Schizosaccharomyces pombe: one gene and its partner. The protein of the gene in region 1 purifies or fractionates together with the protein of each later gene. This does not show direct contact. Each region holds a gene or a part of one and is shown in the gene's direction. Other genes may lie near its edges.

Region 1 (5,589 bases):
GAATGGACCTGGTCTAATCAATCGTTACATACCTTATACTTTAGAAATGGCGGCTCACCAATTTATCTATGCGTAAGTTCCTTGAGTTCGTATTGAGTTGTCCAATTTGTACTAAATATGCAGTTTGCCGAATACGATAAACGTTTAAATTGCTTGGTTCCTTTAAAAACTTTTCAGTTTTACGTTACAGAATCAGATCAAGACTCAACTCCTGCTACTCCTTTCCCAATGCCCATGCATCTTGCAGAGGAAACTGCAACTAGTCCAGAAATATCTGATGCTCCACCTTTATCCGGTAACGTAGATCCCCTTCCTATCAATTCTCCTCCTCTCACGAATCCAGTCGCAAGAGATATTGACCAAACCGAACCCGAAGATGGTCCTCTGTTTCGTGCTACCATTCTTAATTATGAGCGAACTACTCATGATATGCGCATGGTTTTGAAAAAGTTAATAAAACGTATCGAGCACGTAGCACATTCTCATGGTCTACTATATATGTCTTATAAAGAGCTCATGTCAGCATTTGAACGTGTTGCTACCATTAACCCGCCCGCATTTAAACCCTTCTTAGACCATTATTATGCTGCAGCTGCTCAATCTTTCGATTCCTTTAATATTGATCGTGCTCGTTTGCTAAGAAACTTTCTTATTGAGCCTTTGCGTAAAATTTATGATACTGATATAAAAAATGTATCTACGAAAAAGAAAGATTTTGAGGAAACAAGTCGTGATTATTATACCTCATTGTCACGCTACCTTTCTAAAAGCGAGAAAGAAACATCTTCAGATAAAACTAAGGAATCTAAATTTGCTGCTAAGAAAAGAGATTTTGAGCTTTCTCGGTTTGACTATTATTCTTATATGCAGGATATTAATGGTGGCAGGAAAGGCCAAGAGGTTTTATCCGTCCTAACATCTTTTGCTGCAAATGATTACAATCTTATTCACTCCTCTTTAACCGATATCGATGCTTTGCGTCCTAGTATAATACAATTGCAAGACATTGTTACAGAGGCCAACAAAGAATTTCAATTATTAAGGGCTGAACGAGAAGAAAGAAGGAGATACATAGAAACTAGTAGTCGTGAACTAGAAGATAAAGATGCGGAAATAGCAGCCCAAGCATACAAAGCAAAGGTTGATCAGGACACGTCTGCTAAGCAGGGGTTATTACTTGCTTTTTCGAAGTCGACTAGCGACTTGCAGGTTGTTGGAAAATCCGGGTGGCATAAATACTGGGTTGTATTGGATCACGGAAAAATATGTGAATATGCTAATTGGAAGCAATCACTGGAATTACACACTGAACCGATTGACCTTTTAATGGCCACCGTTCGTCCAGCCCAGTCTGTGAGTAGGAAATTTTGTTTTGAAGTAATCACCCCCCAAACTAAAAGAACTTATCAAGCTACTTCAAAAGCCGAAATGCATTCTTGGATTGAGGCTATTCAATACTCTATTAGTGAAAGCATTGTTCAAAAGGGGAAGGGTACGTCTATGAATTCCGAGGAAACTTCGGTGAAACACGGTCCCACCTCGACAATTGGTAAAGCTCTTCAACGTGTTGCTTCTGTAACATCACCGAGTCGTCATAATTCCGATTCAAAAGAGAAAAAACAAACAAAATCACCTTCACTTGTAAAAACGTTAAAAGAGATGCACAGTAGCGACCAATCATGTGCGGATTGTAACACTACTGCGAGGGTTGAATGGTGTGCTATTAATTTCCCCGTAGTTTTATGCATAGGTAAGTGCTAGTATGCAGCCTCTAAACTTTACTAACAAGAACAGATTGTTCTGGTATACATAGATCTTTGGGTACTCATATTACAAAGATTCGATCTTTGACTCTTGACAAATTTAATCCCGAGACCGTGGATTTGTTGTATGCAACTGGAAACAGTTTTGTCAATGAAATCTATGAAGGTGGAATAACGGACTGGAAAATCAAGAACTTTGAAAATCAGGAGCGTCGGGTTCAATTTGTAAAGGACAAGTATTTGTATAAACGATTTATTAAATCGTCATTTTCACACGATCCTAACACAGGCCTTTTGGAGTCTATTGAGCATAGTAATCTGAAAGAAGCTGTCCTATGTTTAGCACTGGGAGCAGACGTTAATTATCAAAGGGCTGTTGTAAAGGCTTTATTGAAGAACAACTATTTAATTGCTGAACTATTGACGTTGAACGGTGCCAGTTTGAATGTTGACGAAGTTACTATGGAGACGCTTTCAGCGCGGGCGCAAGCGTTTGTGATGAATAGAGCAACTCCTTGAAGGACAACTTGTAAATTTGAAAGAGGAAATAATGGTTTTTTAATTCGTGTGTATATTGGAAAGCTGAGTGAATTTGTTGAATATGCTGGTATGTTTGCATAGATGTTACATAGGTATATATATAAGCATGAAAAGCACACAGAATAAATTTTAAGATATTTCGAACGTATTTGTAGCGTTATGTGAATTGTACATATACTCAATGCATAATAATAAAAAATCTCAGTTACAAGGTACGGAAACAACAAAATTTACAATAATAGTTTTACGCGAGGGACAGAATGTATTGAGTTTTTGGCGAGAAAGGAACCTAAAGTAAGTATCTACTCTAGTCTTGTTGCTTAGATTTTCTCTTGGCAAGACGCTTGCCTGTACCAAAGACCTTCTTGCCTCTGTTCTTACGTTGCTTGCGTTGCTGACGAGCAACCTTTTGGATAGGCTCAGCTTGACCAACACGAACAAGACGGTAGTGAGGCTCAAACTTCTTCATGGACTCAGTAGAGTCATAGATCAAAGCGAAGCCGGTAGATCTGCCACCACCAAAATGAGTGCGAAGACCAAAGGCTTGAACGCATTCGGAATCAGTCTTGTACATTTGAGCCAACTTCTCACGAATTTCATTCTTGGAAAGGTTAGCCTTGCCAGGGTGAAGAATGTCGACGACCTATAAATTTCCGTTAGCTGATGTTGAATTAAAAATAGACCAAAAGGTCAAATAGCGGGAAGCTTCATCAAATAAACATACCATCTGCTTTCTTTGAAGCAAGCGGTTAGTCATAAACTTGCGAGTTCTAATTGTCACGGCCTCACTCATTTTAGAAATTTTGGTGACTGATGGTGGTAAGGAAAGGCTCTCACAAGGGATAGCCATTTGTTTGATGTTGTTTGTGACTGCTTTTTGGACTTTTTGTAATTTAATGAATTTCTTAAACAATACCTAAATGTGGTTTAAAGTTTTTTATTACTAAATCGTTATCACGTTTACAGATTCTTAGCACTAGGCTCTTGACATCACTGTTTATGTGCTACTGTGCACCAGCCATCTTGTAAATAACGTACATTGCTCACCGTATGTAAACAATTAAAACTAATTCCTATTTGTTTTAATATTGCTCGAGGATTCCAAATTGTACAAATTAGCGTCGCTGCTTCTATCTTTTGTTTAAGATTTCACCTGTAATTAGATAGTTGACGGCAATATCTATAACAATATATCTTAACTCTAAGTAAAATTCGAGAAATTTCATTCGGGATGTCCTTTACTGTTTGGTCTAAGACCGAGCCTTTCAAGCTTTCAGCTGTCCAAGAGAGTTTGATAACTTTAGAACATGACAATAAGAGATTGCTTTTAACGTATCGTGAAGAGTCCAAAACATGGGATATTGATTTAAATGGATTCCAAGACATGGACGTTAATGAAATTTTGCAGTTGGCGTTTCTTTCTATTTTCTACGTATTCCCTACTTTGAGAACAGAAGTCGTTCTACAGTGGGCAAACATTGAAAGTCAAAAAGGAACTTTGAGCCTTCCTGTTGAATACAATGAGTTAGAAGGTAATGTCTCGATTGACCGTATGTCTTTTTGGCAAATCCCGTCTCCTTGGATGTACACAAGATGCAGTGATTGGCCTTTATCTTACTTACCGAACCAAGTCATTCGTCGTCCCAAATGTCCAAAACCTGGTTCCACTCTGTATGAGCGATTTATACCTAGCTTGAATGAGACACTTTCCTTCGTATCTCTTGACATTGAGCAACATCTGCAGTATTTCCATGAGTGGCAGAACAAACCGAGAGTTGAATACTTTTGGAACGAGTCTGGTTCATGGGATCAACATCATGAATACCTAACAACACTTCAAAACGATCCTCATTCTTTTGGTGTCATTGGCTGTTTCAATGATGTGCCTTTTGCTTATTTTGAAGTTTATTGGGTTCCTGAGGATAGAATTGCTCCATTTGCTCAGCCTTGGCATACACATGATCGTGGTTTCCATGCCCTTGTAGGTAATGACAAATTTCGCGGGCCTCACCGTGTCCCCGTGTGGTTATCCAGTATTACGCATATGTTATTTTTGGATGATCCTCGTACTCAGCGTGTACTTCTTGAACCAAGAATTGACAATTCAAAATTTATTAACTATTTGATCGAAGAAAATTACTCCAAACGTTTGGAATTTAATTTCCCTCATAAACGTGCCGCATTTATGGAGATTACTCGTAACATGTTCTTTTCATGCTTAGGCCCTCGAATTTAGTACGACGATTTTTTTTGATTTTTTGCTTTTACAAGTATAAGCAATGTAGATTTCATTCCATACATTTGAAGTCTTAATCAATTATTCAACTATGTTTTAGTAATTTCATCAGTCATAAATAATATTCACAAGAAAGGTACGAATATAATAAAGATCTATCGATATCTATCATCTCTATAACGTCTATCATATCTATACCTTCGTTCAGGAGATTTATCTCGTAAGTGATCATCACAATTTTTATTTCCAGTATTTCTCCGTTTATGGTATGAACGATCATCACCGTAGTAGTTAGAAAATCTTTCATTTCTAAATGAACTTTGATCGTCACGATGATCACGCTCTTTCCGTCGATGCCTATAGTCGTCTCGGTAATTAGATCTGTCATAACGACCATCAGACCTACGGTGGTACTCACGATCATCACTACGAGACGAAGAACGTTTTCGGTCCCTATTGGAGTTGTAATATTGTCTGTAACGAGCCACGCTTTGGGAAAAATCTACGTGAATTCGAGAATCATCAATTAAAACATTTTGCATTTTAAAATAAGCTTTTTCAACACTTTCTTTGTTATCAAATTCGATAAAGGCATATTGAAGACTATCGCCTGTTTCTTTATCTCGAATAACTTGGCAGGAGATAATTTTTCCAAATCGCGAGAATATTAACTCTAAATCTTCATCTTGGGTAACGGGATTTAATTTGCAAACGAACAAAACGTTTTCGGGAGGAGCAACATGAGCAAAGGGTAAATCACCAATCATTTCTAGTGTAACAGCCTCTGCTTCTGCCTCCATTTCCTTCTCTCTTTGCAATTTATCTTCCGATGTTTCTGACTCAATTTGTTCGTTTTCCCCTATACGTACCGTAGCTAATTGTTCAGGCGTTGGAGACGGTGACCGCAAAGGCTCCACTAGATCGGGTGGATCCTCAAACGGGTCATCTAGTATAATTGTGTGTTTTATACGAATATCACGATAAGGCTGACCCTCTTCATCGCATATAGCGTCATTGATTTTCAGTAGCGTGTCAAAGCCTTCAGCAACC
Region 2 (5,144 bases), on another chromosome or scaffold:
CGAGATAACATTAGCAACAGTGGGTGTTAGTTCCAAAGCAGCGATTTTATAATCATATATTAAATACTCCAAATTTCCGATCAAGTTCTGCCTTTTCGAAGTCACCAACGTCAGACCGTTATTCCAATTTCCAAAAATTTCAAAAACCGATACATCAAAGGTCACGTTGGCAAACTGCAACCAAGCATCACCACGTTCAAGCCCAAACATTGGATATAAATACCCGTGGGATTTGATAGAATTGGTAGCAGCTCGATGAGAGATTGCAACACCCTTGGGATTTCCAGTTGAACCAGATGTGTACAGAACATAAGCAACGGAATCAAGGCTTTCAGGAAAGGGAAAGGGGGGTATCTCATCATCGACTTTGATCTCCATTGACTCATTATACTCAGGAACCTTTAATATAATTGTGTTATTAGGAAATCGATTAACAAACTCTTCAGAGACAATAGCAAAAGACGCATCAACATCTTTACTGATAAAGTGGACCCTTTCAGTACGAGTTTCTACATCAATGGGACAATAAGCATTACCACTGTAGAGGATTGCAAGAATACCAACGAAAAGAGCAGGTGAATGAGATACCATAATAGGAACTACCTCATTCTTACATGTAACGAGTTTGGAAAGTTTTATTGCCAAAGAGTGAAGCTCGAGAAAAGAAAATGATCTAAAGGTATCCTCCAGATCATCGCCAATTTCATATATAAACTTCAAAGCATCTTGATAAGGGTGAGAAAGAGTATTATGATAAAAACACCCGTGTAAATAATTAGCAAGAGATGAAGAGTTTAAGCATAAATCGGAACAAGGAGAATTAAGGATGGAGAAGGGGAGGTCGTAATTAGTGATTTTTGAGTTAATCATGAAAAAAAGTAATCTTGCTAAATCATCATCAAACAGAGACGAATTCCATTTTAAAGTAAGGAAATTGGGAGAACAGACAAAGGCTATGTCGGCAACCACATCCATAGATCGAAAAGCGGTTATGTCTGAAAAATAAGATAAAAGTTGATTCAAACATGGTTTAGATGATTCAAACAAATCGTCAGCAAAGGATGGATCTCGACGCGAAGTGAAAACGGCAGAATGTAGTTTATGTAGGTGAAAAACTTCTAAGGGTTCTAGTTGGGAGTTTGTAGAATGATATAAGTAGCATTGGCAATTTTTAGGATTAGTATTAGGAATCACATCGTCTGAAACAGGAAAAAAAAAGAATGAAACTTCTCCACCAGTGATACCACAAAACAGCCAACTCCAAGCGTCCAAAAATGCAGAGTAAGGATGTGAAAAGGGAAGTGATAAAACGTGATAGGGGGCATCACTTGACGGCCGCATAGGACCTAATTGAGAAATTTGAGTTGAGAAAGCATCTTCTTCATTTGAATTCTTCATAAGTCTCAATCAAAAAATTTAGTGACACGGAAATATTTTATAACGAAGGTGTTGTTTCACAAATGTATCAATAGCTAAAGGATGTATTAATCCTTCATTAAAACACAGTAGCAGTAAGAACCAAGTAGAGGAATATCCTGCTAAAATATGGATGCTTGTAATATTACACCACCCTTGCTTAACGAAGTTTAGTTACGTGATTTGGCGCAGCCTTAAAGTTCGTTATAATGTGCAATCAAAAAGGCCTGTCTAAACAAGGCAATCAACAAACTGGAAGTTTTTCGGGTGACTATTTTCATCGGAGTTTGCTCTTTTAAGTGAATTTTTCAATACTTTCGAAAGATCATGAAAAGCCTCATTACTAATCTTTTCCGAAATTTAAAATGGAGAGATATCAAATGAAGTGCATGTGACCTAGATTTTCGCTTACAATATTGCCCACTTTACCACCTTATATTTATCAGATCGATAGAGATCGGATGAAGAGAGTCTAGAAGATCAACGCGGGGTGCCGGTCGGTAAACCTGAGTCCAAGTAAAGGGGACTTTTTGTAGTGGAAAACGAATGAATAGAGTTTTCCATTTTTTCTGATGTCTCATTTAATCGATGCCATTCTATTAAAAAAAATGTGTTGTAACACACTTACCACTTCCTTTTCGCTTTACTCCAGATTTGCTTCCGCATAGTTCAAAAAACTACGGACTTGCGAGATACAGAGCATGCGACCGCAGCATAGAGAAAGTGGATGAAAAGGGGAGGGAAAGAAGATGACAGAGAAATATAGACCTTGGTATGCGGTAATTTTAACGATTTTCAAATAATTTCATAACAAAGACTCGGTTTTCCGTAATACTAAATTTGGCAGTACACTTTTCACCTTCTGTTTATACCTAAGAATACAAAACGATGCTTAATTTTAGGCACTTCTTATTTTTTGTTTATTCGTATGTACGCGAGGAGAAAACATATACCTGGCGATGCTTTGTTTTAATTTCCCATAAAAAAAGAATTTCGCTCAAGAAAAACAGAATTTTCATTTCACCATCCTCTTTTTTTTAACGGTTGTTTATGCTTCGAGATTTTCTCGGATTTCACAAAATTTCCACCTTAACTGCAGTTACGTAAGGGCTTAGCGCTATGACGGAGAAAGCGCGACATATGTTATCGAAAGGGAATGGACTCCTTAAAATACATGTGCTCATATACTTCCATTATATAGGCTCATTTTCGCACGTATTGTGGGTTGGATAACAATATTTTAAAATCGACCAACAATCTTCTTGCAAACATTTGTAGTAGTGCTAGCCTAATTAATTTCAAAAAGCCGCGCATTCTAGAATATCGTGAAACTTGGTAAGTATGAAAAGGAAAAATATGTTTTTTCGGATAATGGAACCAAGTTTTCTAATATTATTGCTTGCTTAGGGAAAATCCCTAATTATCTAATTAATTCATTTCGTCCCTCTTTCTTAAAAAAAAACCTTTGGAAATAAGAAAATGACTGAACCTCTAGATTTAGCAATTATTGGATTTGGTCCCGCTAGTCTTTCTTTCCTTATTGCTTTGCATGACCATTCGGAGGAGCCCTTAAAGAACAAAAAAATCCGCGTGTTTGAAAAGTTGCCCACGTTTTCCTGGCATGAGGGTATGCTGATTCCTGGTTCAAACATGCAAATCTCATTTGTAAAGGATTTGGCAACGCCCAGGGATCCTACTTCTTACTTCACCTTTTTAAACTATCTACATTCGCATGGCCAGGAACGATTATCTGGTTTCCTTAACATGTCCACCCTAGAGCCATCTCGTTACGAATACCATGACTACTTATGCTGGGCAGCCAGCCATTTCTCCAAGTTTGTCGAGTACAACGCTAACATTAATAAACTCCATTACGATGCCGCAACTGATCTGTACATTGTGGGTCACGGTGATACTCAATGGCAAGCGAAAAACATCATTATTACTACGGGTTGTCAGCCGTATATACCACCATTGTATAAATCAGTCGACAGTCCACTTATCGTCCACTCCAGTAAGTTCATGTCAGATCATAGTCAAAAGTTGCTTCGAAATTCCAAACACGGCATTCTCGTCGTGGGATGCGGTCAATCTGCTGCTGAAATATGGAAACACTGTCATTACTCTCTCGACCCCAAGACCCCTTTGGCAATGTGCTTTCGCAATTTGGCCCCAGTTCCCAGTGACTCAAGCCCTTTTGTGAATTCGCTTTACTTTGACAGCCATAACTCCCATTGGTGGTACAACCTTCCCACTGAAGCTAGATTGAAAGGACTAAGCGTTGGCCGTACTACCAATTACAGTGTTGTCAAAGAGTCACTATTGGAGGAGATGTTTAAGGAGTGCTACTTGCAAAAACTGAGGTATGGTCAAGAATTCCATCAAATAATGGGTGATACAGACATTCAGTCGATTAAGAACGAAGGCGATCATTTAGTTGTTCAATTGACTAGTCAAATGGACAAAAGCAAAAAGCCTGAAACTCGTAAAATTGATGTCCTGTATGTAGCTACTGGTTATGATCATGAATCATTCGATGTCTTAATGTCCTCCCTTTTTCCCAACTCGCAGGGCGCTCAAATTTCTGAGGAGTACTGTGTACTAAACGCCCCAAGTAAACAGGGAAAAGTCTATGTTGCCGGCATTACCAGCAATCAACACGGAATCGGCGAAACCCTTCTTAGCTGGGCTGCTATCCGAGCTGGTGGTTTAGCCAAGGAACTGTTTGGTCCGAGTAAACCAACTGCTCGGGTCCCTGCTTCTTATCTTAATTGATTCTCAGCTTAACTATTCACCTCATTTGATGCTTCGCCGTCTTTCATTATCTTTTATTCTTTTTACAAGAACATAGAGAAATCTTCGACTTTTGCATTTTCTTTTGAACCTTTTATTCGGTTTACGAATCTCTACACTGTATATTTGTATAGATTTCGATGACTTGGTCAATTTAAAGCTACTGTGAATATTTCCCTTCATTCGCCCTTTCATGCCTTATTTCGATAGTAAGTCGTGCTATCCCAATTTCTTACGTGACAATAAAAGGTATTTTGACATTCCGGTCGATTAAAGACGACTTGATACAGATATCCATATAGCTATAATGTATTTTGCTAAATTCGAGCTTACTTTTACTTAAAGACCCAAATTGACATACAAAACGTAAGCAGTGAGTATGCTTAACATTATTAAATAAATTAATTTTGATTTCACTAAAATATTTAAGCGCGCTTATTCGTAGAAAAATTATCTTCACTGCAAAGCATGTTGTTCGTTAAAGAAATTTTATGTATATACACTGGAGACATGACGGTGCACCAAGTCCAAGCTGGCGAACTATGGGACGGCAGATCCCAACGGTGGAACACGTTTAGTTGATACTTTCCACCTCGCATTCAAATTTTTTTCCTGTCTTCTCTTATTCCAAGTTACCTTTCAATTTTGGTCTTTAAGAAAGGTTTCCATCTTATTGCTAAATAATTTGAAGAGAGATAAATTTAAAGAAAAGGAAGTTTAAGAAGTTTTTTATCCTTTAATCAGTGTTTTCGATTTAGTTAAAAGAGTTCGAAAGTTATTTGCTTGGTGCTCTTACAAATTACATATTTGGGTAATTATAAACATATAATGAGCGAAACTTTAGTATTACATTTAAAAGTGCCAACTGAAAGGTTTCGAGAAGTTTTAAGTTCCTTGAAAGAGAAGCAAAACTTTACTGCATCACCATCTTCTCA

The links. The genes of interacting proteins can lie anywhere in the genome.
Region 2: the proteins of sib3 (region 1) and sib2 purify together in Schizosaccharomyces pombe (affinity purification with western blotting, with the first as the bait; one study listed by BioGRID). This does not show direct contact.

Annotation. Positions count from the first base shown.
Region 1 is NC_003423.3:2,178,438-2,184,026, reverse strand, and holds sib3 (siderophore-iron biosynthesis protein), read left to right. Parts: upstream 1-3,330; 5' UTR 3,331-3,534; coding exon 3,535-4,539; 3' UTR 4,540-4,686; downstream 4,687-5,589. Other genes in the region: centaurin Cnt5, read left to right, coding at 1-72, 124-1,750, 1,795-2,282; rps2402 (40S ribosomal protein eS24), read right to left, coding at 2,611-2,946, 3,028-3,096; RRM-containing cyclophilin Rct1, read right to left, coding at 4,695-5,589.
Region 2 is NC_003424.3:868,130-873,273, forward strand, and holds sib2 (ornithine N5 monooxygenase), read left to right. Parts: upstream 1-2,663; 5' UTR 2,664-2,751; intron 2,752-2,823; 5' UTR 2,824-2,895; coding exon 2,896-4,191; 3' UTR 4,192-4,644; downstream 4,645-5,144. Other genes in the region: ferrichrome synthetase Sib1, read right to left, coding at 1-1,398; Ino80 complex subunit Ies4, read left to right, coding at 5,038-5,144.